7 linked regions of the Oryctolagus cuniculus genome follow. The protein of the gene in region 3 interacts with the protein of the main gene of each other region in a pairwise test. Links are inferred from orthologs where the notes say so. Each region holds a gene or a part of one and is shown on either strand. Other genes may lie near its edges. The genes, in order: EMD, HAT1, MEOX2, SYT17, zinc finger protein 124, SHFL and TRIM41.

Region 1 (4,546 bases), on a different chromosome or scaffold from region 3:
AAGCACTCTGTACACACAGGCCTCCGGGAGAGGGGCCAGCACTGCAGAAGAAGGCTTGGAGAGGTGCTGGGCAAGCGGGCCTTGGCCAAAACTAAAAACTCCAGGAGGCAGCTTCATAGCTGCAAATAGTTCAAACTGTCATCTCTCCTGCCTTTTCCTGCCATGCACACTGTCTTTGGGAATGCACACAACTTCTCCCACATTGCTAGGAACAGACTGGGCCAGGTCTTTATTCTAGAATCTGGCAAACGGAAACCCCTCTTCCTTAGGGTTTTTGTCTACGGTCAAAGGGCCTCGTCTCTTCCACATTCTTCCCTGGTCTGTCTGTCCCCATTCTGTGTGAGCAATCTTCCTCAGAGAACTGGCCTGTGACCATCACCAGTTTGGGCCCTTCAGCCTGGAGCTGATCAGAGCCCTCGCACTTTCTTGTCACCAGCTAACATCTGTGAGGCCAGGACGGCACCTCATCTCTTCATGCACCCACTTCTGTCACTTCCTTTCGACTCCCCAAGGGGACAGCCCTCTTCTGATTAAGACCCTTGCCAACCCAGCCACAGTACAGGAACCTGAGCAAGCCTTGGCAGTCTCTCACGGCTCACCAGGCTCCTCTGCCCCTGCCCGGCCCCCTCCTGGTCACTGGGCTCAGGGCCATTCCGACTGGAGCCCCCTTCCCTTCCACCCAGTACCCCGGGTTGACAGTAGGGTGGGCTGGGAGGGCACACTCCCTCTCCGAAGCGCGCTCTGCCCGTGCCCGCTGGAACGGCCCGCCGGGCCCCTTCGAAGGCTGTTTGCTCCAGGAGTGCCCGCGTCCTCCTGGCCCAGTGCCCCATTTCCTCCCGGGTGGAGGGCGGGAGGAGCAAGGGAAGGAGGGAGGGAGGCGATGGGAACCGATGGGCGCAGGTGCGCAGGCGAGGGCCGGTGCAGGTCAGCGAGGCCGGCCTGGGCCAGGGGGTCCGCGTAGCGCACCCAAAGCGTAGACAGCAGTGGCTGGCCCGAGAGCGGCGCTGTGCAAAGGGTGGCTCCTTCCCGCTGCTGCGGGAGAACCCTCGGCCTGGGATCCCGGGAAAAGGGGGACGACGAGTGCAGGCGCAGGGATGTGGCAAGAGTCAACCGGCCCGAACCACCGCAAAGACACCCACGCCGCCGGCTCCCTAGCTCCCACGTTCTGGCCGGTTTCTACCGGTTCGGGTCGCATAGGCTCCGCCCCTCCCGCGAGTCTAGCTCAGAAGCGCCTGCGTGTGACGTCTTGGCGTGCCCGTCCAGCCCCTTTTCTCGAGCGTGCAGCCCCGCCCACTCCCACGGCCTGAGTAGTCTGAGCCACTTTGGCTCCCACACAGGCCCCGCCCCTCTTCCGCCACAAACCAATCTCGCACGTTTTTGAAATACGAGCTCGCCAGGCCCGCCCCGCCCGCTCCCACAGCTAGACCGGTCCGTGCCGGCTCCTCCTTGTGGTTTGGCTCCGCCCCGCGCAGCGCGCGCAGCCTGCGGAGCCCGCGGCCATGACGGGAGCGTGACGCAGACGTGACGCAAGCGCGGCCGCTCCCGAGCCCTGCGAGGCAGTGGTGTTGCTTGGCCTGTGTCGCCAGGCCCGGGCTGCCCCCAGCCCTTCGCCACCTGCCGGCCGCGCCCGCGATGGACGACTACGCGGTCCTGTCGGACACCGAGCTGGCCGCCGTGCTGCGCCAGTACAACATTCCGCACGGGCCAGTCGTGGGTACGCGGGAGCGGGCGGGACGCCTCCCGGGACTCGCTCTCCCGCGCGCCGTCTCGCAGCCCCCCGGTACCCCCCGCCTGCGTCCCCTACCCAGATTCCCTCCCTGGGCTCGCAGCCCACGACCCTGACCGCCCCGCGCCCGCTGTCTGGTCAGGCTCCACTCGCAAGCTCTACGAAAAGAAAATCTTCGAGTACGAGACCCAGAGGCGGAGGCTCTCCCCACCCAACTCGTCTGCTTCCTCGTTCTCCTATCGGTTCTCGGGTGAGCAGCTGGCTGCCGGTGGTGACAGGGAGGGTGGGATTTCGAGGGTGTGGCGTGGGGGGTGGGTTGCTAGCCGAGAGAGGCACTGCGAAGAAGGGAGGGAAGCCTGGGGGAAAATGGTCTCGTCCCCCCCCTCAATTCAGACTTGGATTCGGCATCTGTGGACTCGGATAAGTACGACCTGCCCAAGAAAGAGGACGCCTTACTTTACCAGAGCAAGGGTAAGGCAAGGAATTGACACCCTTAACACCATCACCCCAACACCTTCACCCACCCTGTCCCGGACCGTGGGCGTAGGGAAAACCTGAGGCCTCGACTCCCCACCAGCCTCAGCGACCTGAGAGGGGCCCCAAAAACGCTGTTTAAATAAGGGTCCCTGGAGCAGCTGGGGAACACGGGTCTGCCCTCTGCTACCAGTGCTCCCTTTTTCAAGGCTATAATGATGACTACTACGAGGAGAGTTACTTGAGCACCAGGACTTACGGGGAGCCCGAGTCTGTGGGCACATCCAAAGGCTTCCGGCAACCCGGGACTTCGCTTTCTGATGCTGACACCTCCCACCACCAGGTGAGCTGCCGTCGGGCACCTCATATCCGGGGGCAGCTTGAAGGGATGACAGCTGGGTTTGGGTAAATCCCAGCATCACTGGGTACAAATGCTAGCTCCTAGGTTTCCAGAGAGAGTTAGGATGAGTTAGGACTTTGCTACGGGGCGTGTCAAGAGTATTTGACTAGAGCACACAGGATGTGGCCTGCACCCTGGTCAGGATCTGAAGTTCCAACTCAGAATCCAGGGGGAGAAAAGAGGGTTCTGGGGTCAGTGCTGTGGCACAGCAGGTTAAGCTACCGCCTGCAGTGCCAGCATCCCATGTGCATCCAGGTTGGAGTCCTGGCTGCTCCACTTCTGATCCAGCTCCCTGCTACTGTGCCTGGGAAAGCAGTGGGGGATGGTGTGAGTACTTGGGCTCCTGCCACTCCCATGGGAGACCTGGATGGAATTCCAGGCTCCTGGCTTCAGCCTGGCTCAGCCCTGGCCATTGTGGCCATTTGGGGAGTTAACCAACAGGTGGAAGATCTCTCCCTCTCTAACTCTGCCTTTCAAATAAATAAGTAGAATCTTAAAAAAAAAAATGTTTATTTTCATCTGCTTGAAACCAGAGCAACAGGAAGACAAAAAGAGAAAGTGAGGTCTTCCATCCCCTGGTTAATGTCCTAAATGCCCAGGATGGGGGCCATGGCAAAGCCAGGAGCCCAGAACTCCATCTAGGTTTTCCACAGGGGTAGCAGGGGACCAGAAGCAAACCAGCCAAAACTTGAACTGGCACTCCGTATGGGATATGGGCACCCTAACTGGCAACCAAACCTGCCACGCCACAATGCCTGCCCTGTCTGGCCTTTAAGCAATGGTTAGAGTGGGCTGAGTAATACGACAGGCTGTGCTGACCCTGCTGGCCAGTCCCGTCACCTCGATTCTGGTCTGCAGGTGCGCAGTGACCATCTTTTCTCTTCTGAAGAGGAGGACAAGGACAGGTGAGTAGTGGGAAGGCCCTGGGAGCAGTGATTCTGGGCCTAGCTCTCCTGGCTCACCTGCTCCCCTCTTTTGCATTAGGGAACGCTCCACATATGGCCGTGACAGTGCCTACCAGAGCATCGCACACTACCGCCCTGTTTCCAACGTCTCCAGGAGTTCCTTGGGCCTGTCCTATTACCCTGCATCCTCCTCTTCTGTGGCCTCTTCGCCTTCTCCATCATGGCTCGCCCGCCGTGCCATCCGACCAGAAAAGCAGGCCCCTGCAGCTGGTCTGGGTCAGGACCGCCAGGTCCCACTCTGGGGCCAGCTGCTGCTTTTCCTGGTCTTTGCTGCCTTCCTGCTCTTTGTTTACTATTCCTTGCAGGCAGAGGAAGGCAACCCCTTCTGGATGGATCCCTGAGGGTCTTGATTTCAGAGCCAGCTCTTTGAAGTCCTGGCTGTCTGCCTTAGTGCAGTGTGTGCTGGGGGTGGGGGTGGGGGCTTTTCTGTGTGTTCTAGCTTTGGGGGCTGGGCCTAGCCCTGAGCAGTGCTTGCTCCCCCTGCCTGCTCCCACCAGGGAGGCAGCAGACTCGGGCCCTTCACGTTCTGGTAGGCCTGGGCGTGCCTTCCTCTGGAGCCTCCTGGCCCTGCTTGCCTCTGACCCTTAGGGCCTGGGAGGGCAAGACTTCACTCCTTCAGAGATGTTGTCATGTGCTCATGCATGCCTCCTGTTCGTTGTCACCTTTTTGAGGTTAACCAAGGGCCACCTCGACTTTGTTTTCGTGGACGCAATAAAGACCGTTTATTTTTAATGTGTTGGCTCTTCCTGCTGGGGGAGAGGCTGGCTGCCATGCTTTGGGGTCTCTGGGTCTTAAGGTTTTTTAAGGATTGTCACCTGGCTTTATTGATTCTGTGGTTTTGCTTTGGTCTTGGCATAGGAATCAAATGCTACCGCTGACTAGGTTCATGTGTTGTTTGGGGGTTTATTCCCTGACTCCCCAAAGCACTGGTAACTACTTAAGAAAAGAACTGTGATAACAGCAAGGGGTCTGGAGAACCCA
Region 2 (3,795 bases), on a different chromosome or scaffold from region 3:
TCAGTTAATATATGATATCAAACATTTAGGTTTTAGGCTGTAGCTCGTTTCCTTTTTCTCTCTTAGCTACCTACCCCCAACAAGCCATTACAGGAGTTTATTTAACACAAAACAAACCTATACCAGGAACATTTCCTATTTAGAAAAATATAGGAAAAATAAATTACTAGGATGAGTTTTCTTAATGTATTGTAAAGGTGTCATATAAAAATCTCAGAAACAAATTATGGGAGGCATGATATTAAAAGCATAAAATCTAAGATTTTGAACAAGACAAAGTTTATCCTAAGTATTTAAGAATCTTAACACACATTAACGTATCACAACTAAGCATTTATTATACTGTTTAAGAAGGTAAGCAACTGCAGTGATATTTCAGAAGCTATATCTTTTTTCTTAAATGTAATATATGCTCATAAACTCTAGACAGTATTTTAAAATATACAATCTCTCCAAAAGAAAATATTCAACTAAAGATAGACAACTTTTAATGTAAGTAAATGTTACTAGATTTTAAAATTAAAGTCATCATCAGATTTTTCACAGCACAATGTACAGAAATTTGCAAGCTTCCTGTACATAGTAGTATAATCTTTACTCTTGAGCAAGTCGTTCAATAACACGCCGGTAATCTTCCACTAGTTCCTGAAAGCTTTCTTCCAGCTGTTCATGTTGCATGCTTATTTCTATTTGGTTCATCTGGTTTGTCAGTTCTTCTGGTCTGAGACATTTTCTCATCTTAGCAAGATCTCTCTGCTTTTTCTAAGCAACAAACACAATTTATTTGTTAGACAAAGAAAGCAGTTATACATATTTATAACCTTACATTTTAAGTCTCCAGTGTTAAAAATAAGAACAACGGAAATGTAGTCAAAGTTGTCCTATACATTTCTTAAGGAAGCCTAAACATAATGTTAACCATGAATTGCAACCCTTTAAAATCACTTAAAATTGTTTTAAGTGACGCCGACACAGTAACTAGTAGCCCCCTCCAAAGCATAGTCAAGAATTCTGTCCTGTATAGACACTCAAACTATTTTAATGAATAAAACACATTAACTGAAGAAAGGTAACCAATATTAAGTGCCATTATTTTTTACTTCACTATTCTAACACTGATTGATTATGTTCATTTTTAATTCAAATCTGGCCTTTTTTCTTGCCACTATGCTCATTTCTAGTTTGTCCTACCCAGAGACGTATTTATGGACCATATACTAACTTTAACATTTTGGAACTATTGGAAAACTGTGGAAAAGTTTTAGATAAATGAAAATCGGTCAGATTTTAAAATATGTCAATTAGCATTCAGTGAATCTCAGTACTAAGTTCCAGATATATGTTATTTTTAAAAAACAGACAGAAGGGGAAGATGCTCCAATGATTTCACTCCCCAAATGCCTGCACGAGCTGGGCTGGGTTCAAGGCCAAGGAGAGAACTGGAAACTCAATCCAGGTCTCCCCCACATAGGCAGCAGGAACCTTGAGCCTTCACTGCCTGCTCCCCTACCCTCGCCCAGTCTCCATTAGCAGAAAGCCAGAGCCAGGAATGGAAGTGGCCACTGTACCCAAGTACCCCAATATGGTACATGAGTGCCCTAATCAGCTTAAGTTTTAACTGCTGCACCAAATGTATTATGAAGCTCTCCCCATGATTCTGAGAAGTATACTGCTGTGCTGAGGCATGTGCAAAACGGAGCTGGTAACAACTTTATGCAGGACACCATGTTAGAACATACTGTGTCAGTGATACTCGTAAGAGGACTGGACAACTGAGGTAGCAGCTACTGCTGTAGTTCAAGCCAGGGGTGATAAAACTCTTAGTAGCAGCAGACATGGAGAGTGCAGGGCAGATCTACAGGATAAAGTACTGGGTGACAGGAGGAAGAATGATGAAAAACAAACAACAAGATTCCTGGTAGTGGCAACACTGCAATACATGAAATTGTCATGCTTTAAGATAATCTGCTCTATGGGGCCTGCGCTGTGGTGTAGTGGGTAAAGCTGCCGCCTGCAGTGCTGGCATCCCATATGGGTGCTGGTTCGAGTCCTGGCTGCTCCACTTCCTATCCAGCTCTCTCCTATGGCCTAGGAAAGCAGTGGAAGACAGCCCAACGTGGGAGACCTGGAAGAAGCTCCTGGCTCCTAGCTTCGGATCAGCGCAGCTCCGGCCACTGTGACCAAATGGGGAGTGAACCAATGGATGGAAGACCTCTCTCTCTCTCTCTCTCTCTCTCTCTGTAACTCTGCCTTTCAAGTAAATAAATAAATCTTTTTTAAAAAAAAGATAATCTGCTCTAGATTAAAATATCAATTCTGTTTTACTGGAGCATATAATAAAGAGCCGACTTCACAGATATTAGAAGTCACATACGTTAACTCATATAATCCTAATAGTGCTGAGATAGGTATTAGATGGAGAACAAAAAGGAGACAGGAATTAAGTAACTCGCCCAAGCTCACAGAGCTAGCTAGCAAGCTGAGAAACCAGGATTCAAACCCTGACAGTCCAGTGGGGAGTCCAAATATTAGTTTTTGTGTTAAAATGCCTTTCAAGAGACAAGTAAAAAAGAAAAATCTTAAAAAAATACCTTAAACTATCATAAAAATTAACAAATGCATCTTACTAGGGGCCCTAATAATTTTAGAAAACCAGGCAAATCTGTCATGATCATCATTTAAAAAGCTTAAAATTAAACATTTCTAAAGCAAGGTACAGTAAAGTACTAGAAGTAAGCTTATATTGAAATAAGCTGACACTACAAAGAAAAATTGATCCTGTGTATAAATTGTAATTGTTTCATTAACTTTTTATAGTCCCTAAACTACATATTCTGTTTTGTCCACATGTGATGTATTATAAATTAACTTTTTAAAACATTTATTTTAAAAAAAGAACTTAAGCTCATTTGCAGAAGACCTCTATTCAGCATTAACACCTGGGAGCACAAGTGCACCCTGGAAGAGAACTTTCATATTAGAATGGCTGGAGACTTTCTTTAGTCTTGAAAATAATTCTTTTCCCAATACAAACAAAAACTTCTGTTTCATACAGTAGTGCTGTTGACACTATGCAATTAATGCAAATTTAAAATGGTATTGAAGTCACTTTATTTATATTAAATCTGACCTGAATATGAATTCATTTCCAGAAAATAAAACTTCTTGGCTAGTTTTCAGATTCCAAAAAGGCTTATAAATATATTTTTAAAAATGACATCATTCCTAAGATCTCCTTAACTTCTAACTGTTGAACATTCCCTTTTGTGAAGTACAGTGTAGACAGGTTCTTTTGTAAGAATTTATTGAAATAAAAATGGTGTTGAGGCATATAAATTCCCAAGACTTTCCAAGACGTTTTACAAGACTTCTTTGAAGACATACACACTATGGAAATGAAAAGCCTCCCTAGTGAGTTCACTTCCTCAGTAGGGAAGCATTCCCATGTTGTGGAAAGGAAGCCAAATTCCCAGATGTTAGTAACTTGTCCTGCCAGAACCAGACCCCAACACTGGGTTTCCTGATTCCAAATCCAATGACATTGTAACAAGAATTATAGATTCTCTACCTATAAACCAATTATTAATTAATATATGCCTGTGAAACAAAGGTTTCAATGCTAAAAACCAAGCAGTTGTATCAATTTCTTTTTAGCCACCTTTTTCAGACTTACCATTTTTGAACACCTGAAGATTAATTCTGTACTACATATAGAGTCTCTTTTTAAATGATTCTAGTTAACAAAGGCTGTTTTGCCTTCTTTTTTTAGCACTTAAACAAATAAATTATCAGTGT
Region 3 (4,449 bases):
TCAAACATTCTTCCAGAACGTACCATCAAAGAAAACCCTCATCTAAAGTCCCCAATGATTTTATCCTTGGTGATGGCTGAGTGTATTTCCCACTCAAGCTGTAATCTATCAATACTTTATGCGGCTGACACAAACTTGCTTTTCATGGACCCTAAATATCAGCTTCAACATGTAAAAATGAATTTTACTTTGTTATATGGCTAATTTCTCATCCATGAGAGAGGAGCTAAGGAGCATTAAAGGAGGCCAATTTTTTTTTTTTTTAAGTTTCATTGAAACAATTCGTGGGCATCAGTTCTTGTATTCCACTTTCTCTATCTGTCCCAAACAAAATCACACTTGCCCTATGAAATTCGGATTTGCCCTAAGACACTCAGGGGTACTGGGCTGAGTCAGGACGCCTGAGGAGGGAGCCCATCATCCGGCTTCTCCCGCGGAGAGTGAGAAGGGCCGCTCACTCAGAGCTTCTAGTTCTAGAAGGATGTTCTCATCAGCCCGAACCGCCTGAACTGCCACCGCTTCCACACCAACACTGATATCCAGCGCCCAGTCTGTGCAAGGGCCATTGCTGTCTAAAACTGGCCCTTGTTTATTTATTTATCTTTAAATAATGAAGATGAAAACCTTCTTGCTGGGATTAACCTTTCAACTGGTCTTAAGAGAGTTTCATTTGTAGTTAGTAAAACCCATTAAAAATGAGTGACATCGCTAGTAACTTTCTTAGATATTAACTAATTTGTGATGGGGCATTAATGGTCCACCCCTGACCCTGGAAAGTAAAAGTCGAAAGAAATCCAGCGCAGGCTAAACTGAAGAAAGATCGGTAGCATCGCTGCAAAGCAATTCCAACGCTCATTTCCATCTGCGTCCTTTATGTGGCCTAAAGCTTTACAGGAGATAGACATCTGCCAACTCTTTCAACCCACGGCTGAGATTATCTTCTGGGACTATAGACATCAATTTCGCAAAAGAAACACACGCTAAGTGTTCTATTGCGCAAATGACATCTTCCTAAAACACGAAGGAACCCAGGGTCACAACTCCCCTTCAGTGAAAAATCCTCTGAACAATTTCATCACAATGCAGGCAGGTAAGGGCTTTGCAGACCTGCCTCTGTGGTTAGATTTCCCGGGCAAGCTGCGCGTTCCGGCGCTCCCAGGGCTGTTAGGTTCCGGGCACGCAGACGAACGCCTGGTGGGTGCCCCGTTGCGCGTATCACTTTGAGCAGACAGCACTGGACCTGCCCTTGGATTCCCAGTTTTTGTCGTATTGCACTCATTGAGAGAGGAGTTGATCTTCCACCCTGAAACCTCTTCGATTCTCCCTTTGCATTGGTATCATACGAATACTACTAACTACTCCTAACAATCGTCTTTCTCCAATACTTTTCGTCATCTATTTGTTTAAAAATTTCTGACATGCTCCTTAAAAAAAAAAAAAAAAAAAAAAAAAAAACTTCTTAGACACTATCTTCCTTTCCCAAGAAAGGGAAGCATTTACCATTTAGAATAGGTTGCTATTTAAGGAATCCTGAAATCCAGAATAAATAAATAAATAACCTAAAACTTTTTTTTTTTCTCATACGCTCTGCCAAGTTCCATTCCAAGGTTCCAAATATTGTGCAACGATTTGGAAAGCCAGTTAACGATGGGAAAAAGCGAGCCATTCGGAGTCGGGAACATGCGAGGCAGAAGTCCGGGAGCCGCACCCGCACGCCCGCCCCACGGACACGCATCCCCAGGCGCACGCCCCTCCCGGCGCCGCGCCCGGCCGTCACGCCGCGCAATCGATTTCACAAACTGTCACTCGCTCCCCTTTGGTCTCAAACTTCTGGAGAAGTAGTTTGGGACCTTGGGAAGCCTAGAGCTGCCGCTGCTGGCTGCGTGTAGGTTGCGCACAAGGGTAACACTCCCCTCGCCCCCCCAAGTAACTGGGACCACAGCCGCATCTCCCAAACCTGCGCGGGCTGGACACTGCCCCAGCTTTTGCTGTGCCCCGCTGCAGCCTCCAGCGCTTGCAAACTGCCGCCCTGGCCCGACCCAGCTGCGTCTGCACTCCGGCCGAGGGTCCTTGGCGCGCACCTTACCTGAGCTGTCGCTTTTCCTCTTGCCCCCGCTTCGCTTCTCCACCTCCGCGGGTGACAGCGTCTGACGACCGTAGTCCCCCGGCGCGCAAGCGGCCCCAGTCGGGGTGCTGGAGCCCAGGCTGGAGGAGTTGGAGCACAGGACCGGCGGGCTGCTGCCCAGTTCCGGGGGCCCTCCGGAGTCCGGCTGCAGGCAGAGGCTGTGGCGCGCCGCGCTGGGCGGGGAGGACATCTGCGGGAGGTGCCAGTTGGTTTGCAGCGCCTGGTGCTGTTGCTGCTGGTGGTGGTGGTGGTGGTGATGGTGGTGGTGGTGGTGGCCCCGGTGGTGCTGGCTGGCGAACATGCCCTCTTCGTTGGGGTATCCCGCGATGATGCACGAGGACGACGAAGTGGAGAGCTCCGGGTAGGACATGTGGTCGGATCTCCCGTGCAGGGCGAGCGACGACTGAGAGAACGGGTGCAAGCCTTGCGCCGTGGCGTGCGGGCTGCGCAGGCAGCCAAAGAGCGGGTGTTCCATAGCATGCAAGTCGCGGGCTCCAGGCGGGAAGACTTCAAGACGACCGCACCAACGCTGGCACCACCAGCCTGCGGGCGCTTCTCCGTGGCAATCGTGTGGCTTCCCCCGCACCCTACGCCGCCCCTGTGTCCCCAGGCCAGAGCCGCGCGGGCTTTCCGGCAGCGCTCGTGTAATCCCTGTCCTAAACCCTCGGGCCGGTCTCCTTCACATATAAACACTGGGACCCAGAGGAGCTTCCCTCCGAGCGACTCGGATGTCAAGAGTGGGAGCGGTCGAAGCCAAAAGAAGGTGGTCCCAGAGAACTATACGCCTGGGGGGTGGGGTGGGGGGGGGAGGAAGGGCTCTGGGAGGTTATAAATAGAGTGTAACGTGAGCCGGGGGCTGGCTTAGGAGCCTGGCGCTGACCACATGCGAGCTCCTCCAGCGCGCCCGCTCAGTCTGCGCCCCGCGCTCCCAGCCCCGCTTCCCACTGCCGGCTGGACAGTCCTTCCGCGTGTCCCCGCCCGCCCGGCCCTGCCAGCAGCCCCGGGCTGCAAGCCGCGCACCAGGCGCCGGGATCCCGCCAGTCCCGGCTCCGCACCCACCCCCCAGCCCCTACCCGCGCACCATGACTTGTCAGTGCCATTTGGAAACTGTCACCCGCAGGAAAGCTTAGGGGTGCGCCCAACCCCTGGGGGAGTGAGCGCGGCTGAAAAGGGCAGAGCAGAGCCAAGTCTAGCGCACGCTGCGAGAAGTTTCTCAGACTTCGCTCGCTGCGTGCGCCCCGGGGCACAAGGCGCGCCCGGCTTTTTGCCGCCGAGGTGTGTGCGCCGGCCGGGCACCGGGCTCTGGGGTAGGGTCCAGGTGCGGAGTTGCGCAGCGCGACCCGCAAGTGGGCAGCGCTCGAGACCGAATGGACCGGGACTGGGTGCGGTGAGCCGGCGGAAAGTGCGCGGAAGCCCGCGCCCAGGCATCCCGACGTGAGCCGCCTACTGGTGCCCTGCCTTGGCGTCCCGCCCCCTGACCGTCACAGCGAAACTGGTCCCACTCCATTTCCCAGCCACCAGTCCATCTAGAGCAAGCTGTCCTGGGCCGGGAAGATTCTGAAGAGAGTTTGTCCCTGTCACATGCCACGTGCGGATTTGCACGCGTGCTCCCAGCCTCGCCCCCTCCTCCCCCAGGAGGCAACCCAGGGCCCTTGATTTTCCTCCAGAACCCCACCGCCTCTCTCCCGCTCCCACACAAACCAGCTCCTTCCACACACTCCTCCTCACTGCGCTATGGTGCCACTGATTGGGAAACCGAACACTCTGATGCGTGCCATCGGCGCTTGGGCGTTTCGGGTTTGCATCCCGCAAACAGGAAAGCATAAGTTTGGAGTCCCTGAGCGCATGCGGGCCGCTGGCTCTGTCCCGGGGGCGCACCGGGCCGCGGGGCAGCCGGCTCCCAGCTGGGCCGGTGCCGTCAGGAGCGCGCGTGCCCTCACTGCTCCCGGCCGTGCCACCAGCGGTGTTGCCCCGTTATTTTCATTGTCTCAGGTGTCCCGAGGATGGGGACCAGGTCTTTGAAGTTGTTCCTGAGATTAATGGGCACAGCAGACGGGGCTGGACATCTGGTTCGAATTAGGGGCGAGTACTGAGCCATCTCTGGGCGGTGTCCCCGACGGACGGGCAGGACCCTCGGGCCCCTGCCCGTCCCCGCGGTCCTTTGGAGGGGAGCCGCAGCGCCGCAGCTTGGCGAGAACCCTGGCATCCGCGGGAAAGATGGAATCCGTTTCCGCGGCCTGGAGGTGGGGTGCAGCGGGGGTTTGATGGGGAATTGGGAGACGTGTGAGCACTGCTGGCTTGAACGGAAATGGAGCCCTATTTGG
Region 4 (3,795 bases), on a different chromosome or scaffold from region 3:
TGGCCTGGAAGAGGGGCAACCGGGACAGAATCCGGCGCCCCGACCGGGACTAGAACCCGGTGTGCCGGCGCCGCTAGGCGGAGGATTAGCCTAGTGAGCCGCGGCGCCGGCCGATCATTTCCTCTTTACAACACGTCTGTGCCACAAGGACTATTATTGTCCACATTTTACAGATAAGGAAACTGAGGCTCAGGTGAGTTTAGAACTTGCCTTCAGTTACTACACAGCCGTGCCAGGAAATCTGGCTTCAGGGCCCACATTCGTCACAATTACGTTGCACGGTTCTGCGACTCTCACCCAAGTTCACAGATGGCCACTGGATTCAAATCCAGACAGCTGAACACCAGCCATGAAGCTCTCAAATACAAGGCTCTCTCCAGAGGCCCTTTGTCTTGAGGCCGCCTTCTGTCTCTACGACGTGCCTCCCCCAGGGCTCCTGGCACGCCACCTACCTGTAAACACTAGGCTGGCGTTTTCCAGTTCTTCCTGGGGCACTTTGAAGCTGAAGGATTCATTGTAGAAGGGATCGATTGTGCCTCTTAAGAAGGAGGTCTTCTTGGTTTTCACAAGCTTGAGTCCATGCACCAGCTGGATTTTCACAAAGGGGTCTGAAAATCGGACAAAGCATCACAGAACACCATCAGACGCAAATAATTTGTTCAGCCTCCATCCATCCTTTCAACTTTTCATCCATCTCTCAGTCCATGCACCCATCCACTGATCCACCATCCATCCACGACCCACCATCCATCCATGATCCACCATCCATCCATGATCCACCATCCCTCCATGATCACCATCCATCCTTTAGGTGACAGATCCACCTCATCAGTCCATCCATTGAGTCACTGATCCACCCACCCATCCATCCATCAGTCCAAGCAGCCACTCCTCCTCTCATTGATTCATTCCCCCATCTATCCGTCTACTACTCATTCATCATTTTCTCATCCATCTGCTTATCCATTCATCCCTTTCTCTGTTCCTTCAGCCATCTGATACTTATGGAACTGCTCCCATCTGTTAGGTGCTGTGTTCACCGTACAGATGAGAAAGCTGAAGACTCAAGATGAGAAATGATTTGCTTAAGATCTGCCTGATGGAGGCAACACCAGGTGGAGAGGCTGTCCCAGCTACCTGAGGACTCCCATTATCACGTCAGTGAGCCCATCTACAGGAGAATGGAGATGGTATAGTTATAACTATCATTCTTCAATCACGCTATAATGGGATTCCTGGACTTTATCCACTTTAGCATCTGTTTAAACAAACCAACGAGATGAATATTATTAATGTGTCCATTTCTGAGATGGCAAAGTTGAGGCACAGGGAGGCATCCTGGGGTAAAATAACTTCTCTAAGGCCACATTATTTGCAAGCTGTGAAACTGAGATTTTGTTCCAGGCAGGCTGACATCAGAAGCCTTAATCATTTTATCAAACTGACTCCTCTATTGTGGCGCGTCTGGAATTCTCCAGCCTCGATACATTCCTGCCAGTGGTCCCTCGGAAACCTCTATTTTTGTAATGTGGCTTTTGAGACTGTGAGGTATCTTCTAGCTTCAGCTGTCACCTTATAGAAAAGTAATTTATTTTTGCTATTGTACTTAGAAAAGGCAGCAGAGGGGATCCAGGGACCATGGCTGCTTTCACAACAATATCTCCAGATGGAACGGAATCTGCTCTGTTTCATTAAAAGTCACGTTGGAATTGGTTTTTCTATAAAGCAGACACTAAATACAACAGTCATTTCAGAGCTAGGATTTACAAAGGTTCATGGCACATATGAAGTGGGCTGTGAACAAACCTCCAGGCTTGTGTGTGGGCCTCCATGCCGTCTCTGCACACTATCGCCACCTAGAGCACACTGTCTTTATTGCAGGCACAGTGTTTGGAAAGGCAAAAGGAACTTCCTCCGACTCTAGGTTCTTGGTAGCACACCTGGTCCCAGTCAACCTCACCAATTCAAACCGGGTTCCTGCTTCACCCTAAGAATCACCTAAGGACTTATTTTCTCTCTTGAGCCGGCAGCCTAGTTCTGGATGCTGTGCACCACCCAAGGTATCATCAGTGGTACCCAGGATGCAGTCCACTGAACACACGCAGGTGCCCCATTCACGACGTGGAGGGCAGGGGATGGCACTGTACCTGACCCTTGGCTCACATCCGTCTGAAGAAGCTGCTTGGCTCGAATGACATCAACATTCAGTCGCCCAGCACTCGGGAGGTAATTCAGAGACAGGAGCAGCTCCCCCAGCTCCACCTCGTTCTGCGGGGAGAGGAGATGTTCAGGAACAACTTTTCCTGTTCTTTTGTGCCCTCTGTACCCCTCGTGCAGCTCACAAATGAACAGCTGGTAGGGAGATCAGCTGACAGTGGGTGCCTCCTCTTCTTCTTTTAGCCTCTGCCTCCAATTATCTTCATCCATCTAGCTCAGAAAGTTTTTTCTGCTCTTACAATGTTTAACAGCAACAGCCAAAGCAGCCGTAATAAAAAAATAAGTGCAATATGCCATGTTCTATGCTAAGTACTTGATATGTGATTGATTAATTTAATCTTCATATTAAGTATTAACCCCATTTAACAGGCAAGAAAACTAAGCTCAGAATGCTTTAAATAACATGTCCAAGGTCATCCATCTGGAAAGAGGCAGAGCTGGCCATTGGCGCCAGTGAGGCTGACTCCAGGTGCTCAGACCACTATGCTGTGGGATCCCCAGCAGGCGGAACACCCTGCAAAGTCAGTCTCTGGGTAAGAACTCTGTTCTCGACACACAGCCCACGACAGAGCCTACGCTTCTAGCCCGTCATGGCAGGACTTGTTGGAAAGCACTGACCAAGGCCCCTGATGTCAACACTCCCACGCTTGCAGAAAATCCACACGAGCACAAGTGCACGACTCCACACTGCCAAGTTCCTAGACAAGAGCAGCTGCCCTCCCTACCATCTGCTCCTTTTCAAAAAATGATTGAAATTATACAGATTTGCCAGCGTAACATCTCCCCACATCGCCGTCACTCAGCTGTGAGCATTATCACCATTTTGCCCAACGATGTTTCACACATACCTGTATTTGTAAAAAAAAATGTTGGCCGAATATTTAAAAATAGGTTCTAAACGTGATGTCAGTTTTGTTTGAGTCCCGGCTGCTCTGATTCCATTCCAGCTCCCTGCTAATGTGCCAGGGTAAATCAGTAAAAGATGACCTAAGTCCTTGGGCCTCCGACACTCACATGGGAGACCAGGATGGAGTTTCTGGGCTCCTGGCTTCAGTATGGCCCAGCCCTGGCCATTGTGGCCATTTGGAGTGAATAGGCAGATGGAAAATCTTTCTATTACTCTGCCTTTCAAGTAAATAAATAAATCTTTAAAAAATATCTTACATAGAACATACAGTCAGCCCTCCCTCTCTGCAGGTTCTGCATCCACAAACACCAAGCACCACAGATTCAAAGCATTTGAAGAAGAAATCACACCCATACTGAACAAGTGCAGACCGGTTGTCTTGCCATCTTTCCCTAAACAATAAGTGTAACAAGGATTTACGTGGCAGTTACAGGGTATCAGGTGTTATTACACATCTGGAGGGGCCGGTGCTGTGGCGCAGTGGGATAAAGCCCTGGCCTGCAGTGCCGGCATCCCATAAGGGCGCTGGTTCTAGTCCCGCATACTCCACTTCCAATCCAGCTCTCTGCTATGGCCTGGGAAAGCAGTAGAAGATGGCCCAAGTCCTTGGGCCCCTGCACCCATGCGGGAGACTCGGAAGAAGCTCCTGGCTCCTGGCTTCGGATCGGCGC
Region 5 (3,459 bases), about 57 Mb from region 3:
TGGGCTTTGCTGGATCATTCTCAAAAGAATCTGTACAGAGAGGTGAGGATGGAGAACTTCTGGAACATGGTCTTTGTAGGTAAGGATGACATCATTCCTTCATTCCTGTAGAATAGGAGGTTCTGTGGCCCATGACTGCTGTTCAGTGACATGGGCTATGGAAAGGGTAGGGTTCCCTCAGTAGGTGATTCAGGCATGATCTCATCGTTTCTCTAAGTTTGCAGTTTTATAAAGATGTTTCTTCTCCTGCACTTTAGGAATAATACAGGACGACCATAACATTGGAAATGAGTACAGGAATCCTAGGAGAAATCTAAGGTAATTTATATTCACAAGCAGAAACAATATTCTGTAAGAAGAGAGTCTCAAAATGTCAAGAAATGTTTAAAAAAGCAACAAAATGAGCAAAATTTCCCCTTTAATTATTACAGAATATCCTCAGTTTGTGTGCTTGCATGTGGTATAGATGCTCCTGTTTTAAACTGAGTTGGAAACAGTATTAAGCAACCCCATGTGAACATCGCTGTTTGCATAATATCCGTGGTTGGGCCATTTTGGCAGAGATACATTGAGACGCCAGCAGTGCAGGAGCACAAAGGCTCCATTTGGCCTGATCCTGTTGACAATGTAAAACCAGTACCTGTTAGTAAATATAAGATCATTAGTACAGAAATCCTTCATAATAAGCTGCTTTCTATCCAGCTATGATGCAGTAAAGAGACTGGGAAAGTAAGGAAGGTGGTCAATGTGGTGAAGCCTTCGGACATATTCTGCATTATGTTATGCAGAAAAGCCCTTGTGCCTTAAGACCTTATAACAGCAGTGTGTGTGATGAGGTGGTGAACAGCCATTTCTCTCTTCATAGGCATGTCATATCAGACTCTGGAAACAAACCATATAGGGATCAGAAAAACAGAGGGAAACCCTATGAATGTGAACAGTGTGATAGCATCTTCAGGTCTCACAGATCCTTGAGACATCACAAAAGGACTCACACTGGGGAGAAGCCGTATGGATGTGTGCAGCGTGGGGAAGCCTTCAGTAGTAACAGTTCCTTGCGAAGACATGAAAGAACTCACACTGGAGACAGGCCCTATGAATGTGATGAATGTGGGAAAACATTCACATGGTTAAGAAGCCTTCAGAGACACAGGAGAGCGCACAGTGGAGATAGACCTTATCAATGTAAGGTGTGTGGCAAAACCTTTTGTTACAGCAATTCATTTCACATCCATGAGAGGACTCACACTGGGGAGAAGCCCTATGGGTGTAGCAAATGTGGGAAAGCCTTGAGTACTTACAGTTCCTTGCAGGTACATGAGAGGACTCACTCTGGAGAGAAACCCTATGAATGTAAGCAGTGTGGGAAAGCCTTTAGTTCTTCCAGTTCTGTTCGAGTACATGAGAGGTCTCACTCTGGAGAGAAGCCCTATGAATGTAAGCAGTGTGGGAAAGCCTTCAGTTGTTCCAGTTCCCTTCGAGTTCACAAAAAGACGCACACTGGAGAAAAGCCCTATGAGTGTGGAAGATGTGGGAAACCTTTAAGTACTCAGCAGTCCTTACAGATGCATGAAAGGACTCACACTGGAGAGAAACCCTATGAATGTGGCAAGTGTGGGAAGGCCTTCAGTTGTTCCAGTTCCGTTCGAAGACATGAAAGGACTCATTGCAAATAAACGCTGTGAATGTGAGAAATGCAGGAAGGCATTCAGTCAGTCCAGTTACTTTGTTACATGAAAAAAAAATCACACTGCAGAGAAACCCTGTGAATGTAAGGGTTTTGGGACAGCATTCTCATTTCCCAGTTCCTTGTATAGACACAGAACTCAGAGTGACTATGTGTGTAAAAATGTGTTAAAGTCCTGTTTCCTTCATTAATACATGAACAATAAACACTGAACAGGTGAACATTCTGTTTCACTTCCTTTCCAAAGTGCTAAATATATCAGATTCAAGAGAAACACTGCATAATAAGTTTGCAAATGCCTTCAAGATCACACAACCTTTCTAGCCCACATGAGAGAACATAGTGGAGAGATTCCATGTAAACATAAATCTGGTGTTGTGCAACAGGCTAAGCTGCTGCCTGCAACACAAGCATCCTGTATTGGAGTGCCTGTTGTCCTGCATGGCTGCTCTGCTTTTAATCCAACTCCTTGATGATGTACCTGGGAAAGTAATGGAAGGCAGCCCAACTCCTTGAGCCCATGCAACCCACATGGGAGACCGCAGTGGAGTTGGTCTTATAAATATGGACCAGCCTTGGTGATTGGGACTCTTTGGGGAGTCAAGCAAGGGATGGAAGATCACTATGTTTCACCCTGCCTTTCAAATAAACAATAATTTTTTAAAGGGTGTCAGAAAAATTTTAGCTCTACAAGCTCAAATGAAACCATGCGTATGGACAATGTGGAAAAATCTTCAGTTGGGGGCTAGTATAGTGGAATAGTGGGTAAGGCCACCGCCTGTAACACCAGCATCCCATATGGCACTGGTTCAAGTCCTGGCTGCTCCTACTAATGTGCCTGAGAAAGCAGTGGAGGATGGCCCGCGTTCTTGGGCCCCTGCACCCACGTGGGAGACCTTGAGGAAGCTCCTGGCTCCTGGCTTCAGCCTAGCCCAGCTCTGGCCATTGCAACCATGTGGGGAGTAAACCGGTAGATGGAAGACCTCTCTATCCTCTCCCTGTAACTGTGACTTTCAAAAAAAAATAAATATCAATGGATGATATTCATATGATGATATGTAGAACAAACAAACTGGGCAGTGGAATATTTCCCTAAATAGACCAAGAGCAATAGAGCCTAAGTTTAATTAGGTAGTGTTTTTCTTTTCTCAGTGAAACTTTTCTCATTCTATTTTGAGTGTGTTAGGGCCATGGGTGGATGGAATGTAGTTGTAACTGTAGTTTTCACATTAGTTTTTCGATGATCCTATGACTAATGGAGCTACTGAAAAATTAACTGTGTCTTGAGAACTCAATGCAAATGAAAAAAGAGAAGAGGGAAAATTAATTTGTTAAATGTTGAGATTTGTTATTGGCCTCAAGTGACAGGCTTTGGAAACCACTTCCCCATTATGAATTTCTTCCTCTTCCTCATGGAGAAAAAAACTTTTGTGAAAAGTTTAACCTATCTTCTGTGCTAAAAAGTAATTGTCATTAGTCTTGGTATGTCATGCAATATAATCTCATGTGAATTATTTTCTTAGATTGCCCTCTAGTCTGTCATCTTTCTAATTGATCCTTGGCTAATTCACTTGGAATTTAGTACAGAGCATGTTAAAATCTAGATTCGGAGATGTGTTTCCTTGATTAAGTGATGTGAATATGAAACCAACCTTTCCAGGATTTGCTTTGTAATGCCACATTAAAATTCATCAAGTAACCTAAGTTCCATGATACTTGGAAGACAGAGCGAATATTACTCACGATTTGGAGGTGCCACTTACAGAGATAAC
Region 6 (4,388 bases), about 60 Mb from region 3:
CTGCGGTGGGGGGCGCACACAGGGGTCAAGGTCACTGACTTGACCTTGGCAGCCTGACACTGGCCACTGGTGGGGACGTCTGTGCCACAGTCACCGGCCAGCGCACAAACGTCAGCTTCCCCCATCTCCCCGTCCCCCCTGCTTTCTCCCAGGGGAACCTGGACGCCACATTTAGGGTTGTGGCTTTGGAGTCAAGTTCAATTCGCAACCAGCGGGGTCGGAGGTCAGAAGTGCAGCTGCAGGTCAGCCGGTGGGATGCGGGTCAAGCTCGGAGGTCAGAGGTCAGGGGTCAGGAGTGGCGTTCAGGACAGAAACCAAGGTCAAGTTTTAGGCGGTCACCTCCTTCCGCTGGGGCACACGGCGCCACCAGACGTGGTCGCAGGAGGAACAGGCGAACTGCCTGTCCACGGCAGGGATTAGGTCATCCTGGGCCCGCTGGAACATGCGCAGGTTGGCCTCCGTCAGCGGCAGGAGGGAGGTGGCCACGGCCTGCGGGACGGGCAGGGTGGGGACAGGGGTCACCGTCCTCTGCCTTGCACACGTCTGCCGCCACCCCCACACGGGTCCCCCTGCCCAGCTGCCAACTCACCTGGATGTCTCGGTCCTGCTTCATGTCCTCTGGGGGGTCCTGCGTGGAGACGCCAGGGGCAGAAACTGGGGCAGGCACTCGGGTCTCCCCTTTACCCGCCTTTGCTGGGGGAGGGGCCTCCCAGAGCTCAGAGCAGGTGCACAGCCAGCAAGGAGCAGGTACATGGCTTCCCTTAGCCATTCCGTTAGCCCCGACAGGTGGGCGCACCTGTTCTCGCCATTGCTCATATGGGGAAACTGAGGCCCAGAGGCAGGGGAGGGCTTGCCCGAGATCATCCTAACGCCCGCAAAAGCCAGGGCTGGGCCAGGCCGAAGCAGGGAGCCTGGAGCTCCATCGGGGTCTCCCATGTGGGCGGTAGGGGCCCAAGCTCTTCAACCATCCCTGTCGCCTCCCAGCGTGCCCATGGCAGGAAGCTGGACCGGAAGAGGCGGAGCCGGACTCCAACCAGGCATTCCGCCTCGCGCTAAACACCAGCTCGCCACCTATTTGAGGCCCCGTCGCTTTCGGCTAGTGCTTGGGGCTCTGGATTTGAACAGACACAGGTTCAAGTCCTGGCTTTGGCACTTCCGGCTGTGAGAACGTGGGCAAACCACTCGTCCCCCCGGGGCCCCTGGAGAAAGCATGACTTCACCACCGTGCCTCAGTACTGGTCTGTAAAATGGGCTGATCAATAATGGGTCCTGGCTCGTGTGGTGATCAAACAAGTCAGTTCCTGGAACCTGGCCCCTCGGGGAAGTGCCGGGTCAATGATTACCCTCTGTGATTATTTCTATCACATGCTTTATGCCTATAAAGATTAGGATGCGCACTTTATCTCCAGGTAGGTGAGATCCAGCCATTCCCACACAAAGCCAGTCATCACTCATTCATTCGTTCAACACAAGGACGCCCTAGCCGCTTCCCCCTTCCCGCCTCTTCTGGGGTCAGTTCCCCCTCTTCTCTCCCAGCCTATGCTACCTGTCACCCCCTCCCCTGCTTTTCCATTCCAGGGCTCACTCCTCCCTGTCAAGGCTTTGCATCACCTCCTCCAGGGAGTCTTCCCTGACTTCCTGGGCTCCCTGGCACCAATGGCGGCGTCCGCTCCGCTCCATGGAACACAATCAGCACTTAATGAGCACCTACTGTTTGCAGGCTCCCTGGCCCAGCCGATGATTGAGGAAGGTGCTGTGTGTGGCCAGCCCTGCTCGCTCCAGAGGGTCCCCCCGGCTCTCCCGCCCGGTACCCCGACCTTGGAGGCCAGGGGACAGGTTACCTGCGCGTCCAGGTCATTACTGAGCTCCTGTCCGTCCTTCTGCTTTACCCCTGGCGGGATAAGACAGGGCCCCTGAGCGGCCTGCGCCGCCCAGACCCTCCCGCGGCTAGACCCTCCCGCGGCTGGGCCCTCCCGCGCCACGCCCCCTCGGCGCCGGCCGGGGACCCCCGCGCGCTCACCGTACACGATGGAGCGACCCACGCCGGTGTGGTCGCTGCCGAATTTCCTCATCAGAGCCCCGGCCTTCTTGGGCGACACCTTCCCATGAAACTTCTCCCGGAGGCGCCGGACGCTCTTCTCCAACTGGGACGGGGGGGGGGGGGGGGGACAGGTGGGCTCCGGTGGGGGGGGGAGGGACGAGCCGCCGCCCCTCCCCCAACTCCAGGTAACATTCCTGGGGCCTGAACTTTAGCCTTGGTTTTGGCCTCCGCCCCCTCCCCCCTTCCCACCATCTCTCCACGACATTTCCTGCACAACCCCCAAGTCCCTACAGGGTCTGGGGGTGGGAGCGGATGGCGGGCGCGGGTCCCAGCCTGCGGGCGGGGCGCACAGGTAAGGCCTGGGTCTGACCCCTGACCCCGCAGCCCCCGCTTCTCCTCGGGGGGAGGCCGCGCTTCGCTCCGGAGGCGGGGGACGTGAGCGGCGCGCTCCTCTCCGAGGGGGCCCGGGCGCTCGCCCTGAGCATGGGATGGGATGCGGATGGGGGTCCCCCAGGAACTGCGGAGCCCCCTCGGCGCCCCCGGGCCCCCCTCGGCGCCTGCCGCGGGCCCCTCGGCTCGCGGCCGTGGCCATCGCCTACCTCCACACCTTCCTGAGACATGGTGGTGGCGCGCAGGTCCCCGCGAGGGTCCGCACTGCGTGGCTCAGCCGCCCTCCTCGCTGGGCGCGCCCGTCGGTCCGGCCGCCGCGCAGGGCAGGGGGCGGGGTCTCGCGGCCGGCTCCGCCCTTCTGCCCGGGCCCGGTGTTTCGCTTTCGGTTCCGAAGTGGGGAACGGGTGCGCTGGCTCCGCCCCGGCTCCGCCTCTGCACTTGCGCCCCAAACCCAGGCGGGCGCGCGGGGTCTGCGCCCTGCGGCGGGGCGCGCGCACCTCGGGCGGGGGAGGCGGCGCGGCCTCTGCAGTCGGTCACATGTCCCCACGCTGCGCGGGGGCCGCGTCTTCACGTCCCCCGTGGGGGCGGGGCCGCCTCCGAAGGCAGCGGCGGGTCCCCGCGCCCCCCACTCCCCGCGTGCGCTCCCACGGACCGGGCGCTTGTTAGGACCTGGGGGGGTTTGTGGGGGGGGGTCCCTCCTCCCCTGCTGTTGAGTTCCTGACAGGCCACTGTGACGTTTCTGATCCTCAGTTTATCGCTCTGTAAAATGGGAATGATCCATAGGTGCTTGTGAAAAACACAGGGTGATGGGCCCCAGCTTTTGGGGGGCGCTTTAGAAATGTGCATTTTATTTTTTAAAAGTTTTATTTATTTGGCTGGCAGAGATAAAGAGAGAGAGTGCATTCCCATTTGCTGGTGGACTCCCTAAATGCCTGGGTCAGGCCGAAGCCAGGAGCAGGCATCTCAATCCGGGTCTCCCACGTGGGTGGCAGGGACCCAAGTGCTTGAGCCACCACCTGCTGCCTCCCAGGGCTGTGCTATAGTGGGAACTGGGACCTGGATCAGAGCCCAGGAGTTCAGCTCATGCCATGCAGGCCTCTCATGTGTCCCGTTAACCCTCTCAAGCCAAATGCTTGCTTTGGAATCTGCATTCTCAATCGGGCGGTTGAGGGGCCCATGGGGCCCCAGCAGAGGGGCCTGGGGAGCCTTTAGCTGGGACCCTCGGCCTGGGGACATCATCTCCTGCTTGGACAGAGCCCCAGAAGTTTGAGGTCATAGCTGGTGAGGATGGAGTCAGGTGAAAGAAGCAACTGCGTTTTCTCAGCCGCCTGCACAGAGCTGCGGACACTTTGGGCCAGTAGCTCTTTGCGATGGGGATCTGTCCCCGGCCCCCATGCCCTAGATGCCACCGGAGTCGTGGCCCTCCTCAGAAGTGGCCTCCGGACACTGCTGGAACACAGGGCGGTGTTGGGCACAGAGGTTTTGCTGCCGCCTGGGACGCTGGCATCCCATCTTCGAGTGCCAGGGTTTGAATCCCAGCTCCCGACTCCAGTGCCCTGCTGATGCGCACCCTGGGAGGCACCAGGAGATGGCAGGTGCACGGGGCTCCTAACACCTCTGGGGGAGACCTGGAGGGAGCTCCTGGCTCCTGGTTTTGGTCTGGTCCAGTGTTGGATGTTGTAGGCATTTGGGGAGGGAACCAGCGCATGGGAGATCTCTGTCTTTCAAATAAATAAAATCAATTATTAAGTTAAAAATATGCCTACCATAGGATTCATCAATCCTACAACAGGCACGCCCCTGTCACCCACGAGGGAGACTCGGATGGAGTTCCCAGCTCTTGGCTTCTGCCTGGCCCAGCCCTGGCTGCTGCAGGTATCTGGGAAGTGAATCAGCAGATGGAAGACCTCTGTAATAATAATTTTTTTTTTTTTGGCATTCCTCTCGGGGGTATGGT
Region 7 (3,795 bases), on a different chromosome or scaffold from region 3:
GGATGAGCTGTGTCAGGGTCCAGTGTCAGGTCCACTTGGGAGGGGAGAGGACAAATATATTCAAGCTAGAACAACTGTTCCCCAACAGTAGCCAACTCCATAGGCTCAGCCTTCCCTGCTGCTCCCCTACTGCCCCCACCTCTTCTTTTCAGTTCCCTAAACTCAGGGAACTTCAGTTCCCTAGAGGCTAGGCTCCGGTTCCCTGGGTCCACTTCTTTCCTTACTCTTGTCCCCAGGATACCTGACAGGTGTTCCCTTCTGCCTAGCTCTCACCACCCTATCGGACCTCAAAACATACCTGGGCTAGAACAGAAACTACTATTGGCTTAAAAGCTCACAGGACCTACTTGCATCCTCCATCTCAGACCCCCATACTTCCCCTGCAGCCCAATATCCCTCAGAACCCAGAAATGAAAGGCAAAGTGACATTCTTACCTCTTGCAGCCTGACAGAACATTCGGCTCATTTTCCTCACAATGGCATCTGTCAGGAAATCATGGCTATGGGGTTGGCACAGATCAGGGGACCAGATCTCTGGTGGTTGCAGCTGTACCTCTTCACACCTGGAGGAAGGGGACCGGGCAGGGGGTGGGACCATGATATTCCAAGAGGGAAGAGCAGAAGTGAGGGAAAGGAGACAGTGGGCCAGGCGGTAGAAACTCAGGTCATTGGGAAGGAAGGAGAGAGCCACCCCAAAGAGGCAATGATGGGGACTGGATGGTACTGGGTCACAAAGGGTACCGGGTGGGAACACACCTACTGAAAGTCTCCTTGATGTCCTGGGAATAAAAGAAACAAAAAAAGGGAGAGGGAGAAAAAAGACAAAGAGAATGTCAGCTGCACAGAGATCGCTCCTTTTTCCCAGTCTTCAGCTAGAAACAACCTAACTTGAACAACGGAGAAGCAGCACCCTTAAAGCCCTAAATAAACATGTTTCAACTCAGCCACCACCATTCCTCACCATACCCAAACCTCACCCATCCTGCTATAAGCCTACTAATAAACAGAATTTATAATATGTCTTGGTCACCTTTTTCAGGATGTCACTGTCAAAAGTTCATTCCTGAGCTCTCATTACATTCCTCCTAACAAATTTTACTTTTTTTTCAATGGCTATAATCGTGTAATAGTCACAGATACCTCATTCAACATTAGTTCTGCCTCCAGTCTCAAGACTGTTTTGGTCTTCAGGTTGAAACACTGTGGTATACTCCCAGTGAGAAAACAGGCAGCTCTGGACAATATTTGGTAAGCACTATCTGACAGGGCAAATAGGGTGCTTGGGAAACTGGGAGTAGAGAAGGGAAATGCTGCTCACCTGAAGCAGCCGTAGACCACCCTGCTGACTCCGTTCCTGAGCCTCAGCCAGCAAACGGCTCAGCTGGGTGGCCTGCTCTGAGAGGCGGCTGGCTGCAGCTCCCGCACGCCCCAACTGGGCTTCATGCATCTCTCGGAGGCGCCGCTCCAGCCCTGCCTGCTCTTCAGCCAGAAACCGTGTCAACCGCCCAAACTCTGAAGCCACAGCTGCAAGCTCTAACTTCATCTGGCTCTGGAACAGTGCAAAGGGAGGGGTGGGTATCAATTCAACATAAAGAGAAACGTTGAGTTATGGGATGGGTGACCAGCACAGCAGTTAAGTCGCCATTTGGGATAATCGCATCCCATATCAGAGTGCCTGGTTTGAGTCCACTTTAGATCCAGCTTTATACTAACTTGTGCCCTGGGAAGATGGCTCAGGTATTTGGGTCCCTGCCATCTACAGGAAAGAACCAGACTGAGTTCTGGTCTCCCAGCTTCTGCATTGCCTTAACTCTGATCATGCAGGTATTTGGGGCATGAACAAGCAGACAGAAGATCATTCTGTCTCTCTGCCATTCAAATTCAAAAATAAAAAGATATGGTAGTAAAAAGAGGCCCCTGTCTCCCTCTCCACCCCTTAGCCTTACCATGTACCACCCCCACACTTTTGGCATCCTCATTCTATACTCACCAACCTCTGCTTGGAATACTTATCTCTACACTGTGTACCTAATATGACTCATCCTTGAAGTCTAAGCTTACATATTTTGAGAGAAGCTTTCTATTATTCAGATCTCAATCAAGACTACTTCCATAAATACCATAACTTCTTCGTGGTATATACAATATTTGAAATGCTATGTTTACAATGAAGTATCTTTTTATATTCTTTTCCCCAATATACCCTAAGCCCCTAGAGGGAGGGACTGGGTTTGTCTTTGCCATTGCTTCCTCAGACCTTGGCAGAGTCCTGACCACAGAGAAGGCACTTGGGTGGGAATATCTGAAGCCCCATGGGGCTCCATTTTGAATCTTACTACAGGGAACTGATTTGAGGACTCTCCTTGGAAAATAAAATTTCACTTATATTAGTACTTGCATATAACCCACACATATTTTCCTACATATTTTAAATCATCTGTAGATTATTTCCAATTACCAATACAATGCAGATTTTATGTAAACAGATACTGTATTGTTAGAGAATAATGGCAGAGAAAACAAAGTCTGTGCAGCCACACTTTTTTTTCCCCTACATATTTTAGCTCTGCAGTAGGCTTAAACTATAGAGGTAGGTATATTTTTCACCTAGTTACCATCAGCTGAAGACATTCTCTGGATAAAAGGCCAGGGATTAGGTTAAGTCACATGGGATTCTTGCATCCTATGTTTGAGTTCCCAGTTTTGAGTTCTGACTGTTCCACTTTTGAATCAGTTTCTTGCTACTGCACCTAGGAAGGCAGTAAATGGTGGCCCAGTTGGTTGGACCCTTGCCACCCATGTAGAAAACCCAGATGGAGTTTCCAGCTCCTGACTTCAGCCTGGCCTACCCCCAGCTGTTGGGGCATTTGGGGAGTGAACTAGCAGAGAGAAGATTGTTCTGTCTCTGCCTTTCAAATAAATAAATAAACTTTAAAAAAAAAAAAAAGTAACAGGCCAGAGTGGGAGAATTCTGGCTGGTAAAGTGGGTAAGGCACATAGGAAGGTTCACTCTTTGCCCCAATGACATTCAGATCTCTAGCACATCTTTTCTGTACCCTGGAGAACCTGAAATATCAATTTGGGCAGCTGGCCAGAGTTAATATCGCTCTGACTCCTAGTTATACATTTCATCATTCAGTGCTTCCCAGTTGCCAGCAAGAGTTCCTAATGAGCAGTGATGAGCATAGACCCTGAAGTGGTCAAGGCCCAGGCACTGGCCAGAAAGAAAGGTTTTGGGAAGGAGAGAGGAAAAGGGACAGAAAGGAGTGTCTTGGGATGGTTTCTGAAGCTCACAGTGTCAGCTCATACCAGCAGGACCTGCTGGCCGTACAAAAACAGGCAGGAGGTATGAGGTAGGAATTAGGGGGAAATTATCTAAAAAGACCCCTTGGGGAAGAGTGAGCAATAATGAAAAGAGCTCATTAACACTGTACTAGGAGATATTTGGTCTCTGCTATGCTAATTCTTCTCCCTTAAACACACCGGCCCCCTCCCAGAAGTAAGTTTCCCAGGACGACATCTCCCTCATGTTCAGGGCCGTTGTGGCTACCACCTGCATCTACCCTGGGACCTGGACTTATCTGGTGGTTGCTGCATGGGTTTTGCTTTGTTCCTTTCTGCTCCGTGTCTATCCAACATAGAAGGCTTGGCAGTGTGGAATAGAGAATTAGATTAGGTCTCGAGGTAGAAAGTTTTGCTCTGCAGCCTTGGGTCAGACATCCCATCTCTCAAACCCAAGCCTCAGTTTTCATTCCATTTTGGAATATAGAAATGAACATGTCTCCTAATCTTCAA

The links.
Region 1: the proteins of MEOX2 (region 3) and EMD interact in binary tests that used the Homo sapiens proteins (3 or more experiments, as listed by UniProt). The two-hybrid records come from large-scale screens. The link is inferred for Oryctolagus cuniculus from reciprocal best matches to the Homo sapiens genes MEOX2 and EMD.
Region 2: the proteins of MEOX2 (region 3) and HAT1 interact in binary tests that used the Homo sapiens proteins (3 or more experiments, as listed by UniProt). The two-hybrid records come from large-scale screens. The link is inferred for Oryctolagus cuniculus from reciprocal best matches to the Homo sapiens genes MEOX2 and HAT1.
Region 4: the proteins of MEOX2 (region 3) and SYT17 interact in binary tests that used the Homo sapiens proteins (3 or more experiments, as listed by UniProt). The two-hybrid records come from large-scale screens. The link is inferred for Oryctolagus cuniculus from reciprocal best matches to the Homo sapiens genes MEOX2 and SYT17.
Region 5: the proteins of MEOX2 (region 3) and zinc finger protein 124 interact in binary tests that used the Homo sapiens proteins (3 or more experiments, as listed by UniProt). The two-hybrid records come from large-scale screens. The link is inferred for Oryctolagus cuniculus from reciprocal best matches to the Homo sapiens genes MEOX2 and ZNF124.
Region 6: the proteins of MEOX2 (region 3) and SHFL interact in binary tests that used the Homo sapiens proteins (3 or more experiments, as listed by UniProt). The two-hybrid records come from large-scale screens. The link is inferred for Oryctolagus cuniculus from reciprocal best matches to the Homo sapiens genes MEOX2 and SHFL.
Region 7: the proteins of MEOX2 (region 3) and TRIM41 interact in binary tests that used the Homo sapiens proteins (3 or more experiments, as listed by UniProt). The two-hybrid records come from large-scale screens. The link is inferred for Oryctolagus cuniculus from reciprocal best matches to the Homo sapiens genes MEOX2 and TRIM41.

Annotation. Positions count from the first base shown.
Region 1 is NC_091453.1:132,603,872-132,608,417, forward strand, and holds EMD (emerin), read left to right. Parts: upstream 1-1,632; coding exon 1,633-1,714; intron 1,715-1,868; coding exon 1,869-1,976; intron 1,977-2,119; coding exon 2,120-2,197; intron 2,198-2,409; coding exon 2,410-2,543; intron 2,544-3,458; coding exon 3,459-3,505; intron 3,506-3,584; coding exon 3,585-3,906; downstream 3,907-4,546. UniProt on the Homo sapiens protein: Stabilizes and promotes the formation of a nuclear actin cortical network. Stimulates actin polymerization in vitro by binding and stabilizing the pointed end of growing filaments. Inhibits beta-catenin activity by preventing its accumulation in the nucleus.
Region 2 is NC_091434.1:69,121,252-69,125,046, forward strand, and holds the end of HAT1 (histone acetyltransferase type B catalytic subunit), read right to left. Parts: intron 763-3,795; coding exon 595-762; 3' UTR 313-594; downstream 1-312. UniProt on the Homo sapiens protein: Histone acetyltransferase that plays a role in different biological processes including cell cycle progression, glucose metabolism, histone production or DNA damage repair. Coordinates histone production and acetylation via H4 promoter binding.
Region 3 is NC_091447.1:7,289,488-7,293,936, forward strand, and holds the start of MEOX2 (homeobox protein MOX-2), read right to left. Parts: upstream 2,889-4,449; 5' UTR 2,601-2,888; coding exon 2,087-2,600; intron 1-2,086. UniProt on the Homo sapiens protein: Mesodermal transcription factor that plays a key role in somitogenesis and somitogenesis and limb muscle differentiation. Required during limb development for normal appendicular muscle formation and for the normal regulation of myogenic genes.
Region 4 is NC_091450.1:21,228,399-21,232,193, forward strand, and holds part of SYT17 (synaptotagmin-17), read right to left. Parts: intron 2,269-3,795; coding exon 2,148-2,268; intron 609-2,147; coding exon 453-608; intron 1-452. UniProt on the Homo sapiens protein: Plays a role in dendrite formation by melanocytes.
Region 5 is NC_091447.1:64,590,674-64,594,132, reverse strand, and holds part of zinc finger protein 124, read left to right. Parts: coding exon 1-79; intron 80-257; coding exon 258-318; intron 319-865; coding exon 866-1,676; 3' UTR 1,677-3,459. UniProt on the Homo sapiens protein: May be involved in transcriptional regulation.
Region 6 is NC_091447.1:67,206,132-67,210,519, forward strand, and holds the start of SHFL (shiftless antiviral inhibitor of ribosomal frameshifting protein), read right to left. Parts: upstream 2,946-4,388; 5' UTR 2,662-2,945; coding exon 2,641-2,661; intron 2,145-2,640; coding exon 2,021-2,144; intron 1,892-2,020; coding exon 1,842-1,891; intron 629-1,841; coding exon 590-628; intron 490-589; coding exon 340-489; intron 1-339.
Region 7 is NC_091445.1:34,924,394-34,928,188, reverse strand, and holds part of TRIM41 (E3 ubiquitin-protein ligase TRIM41), read right to left. Parts: intron 1,550-3,795; coding exon 1,319-1,549; intron 780-1,318; coding exon 757-779; intron 564-756; coding exon 436-563; intron 35-435; coding exon 1-34.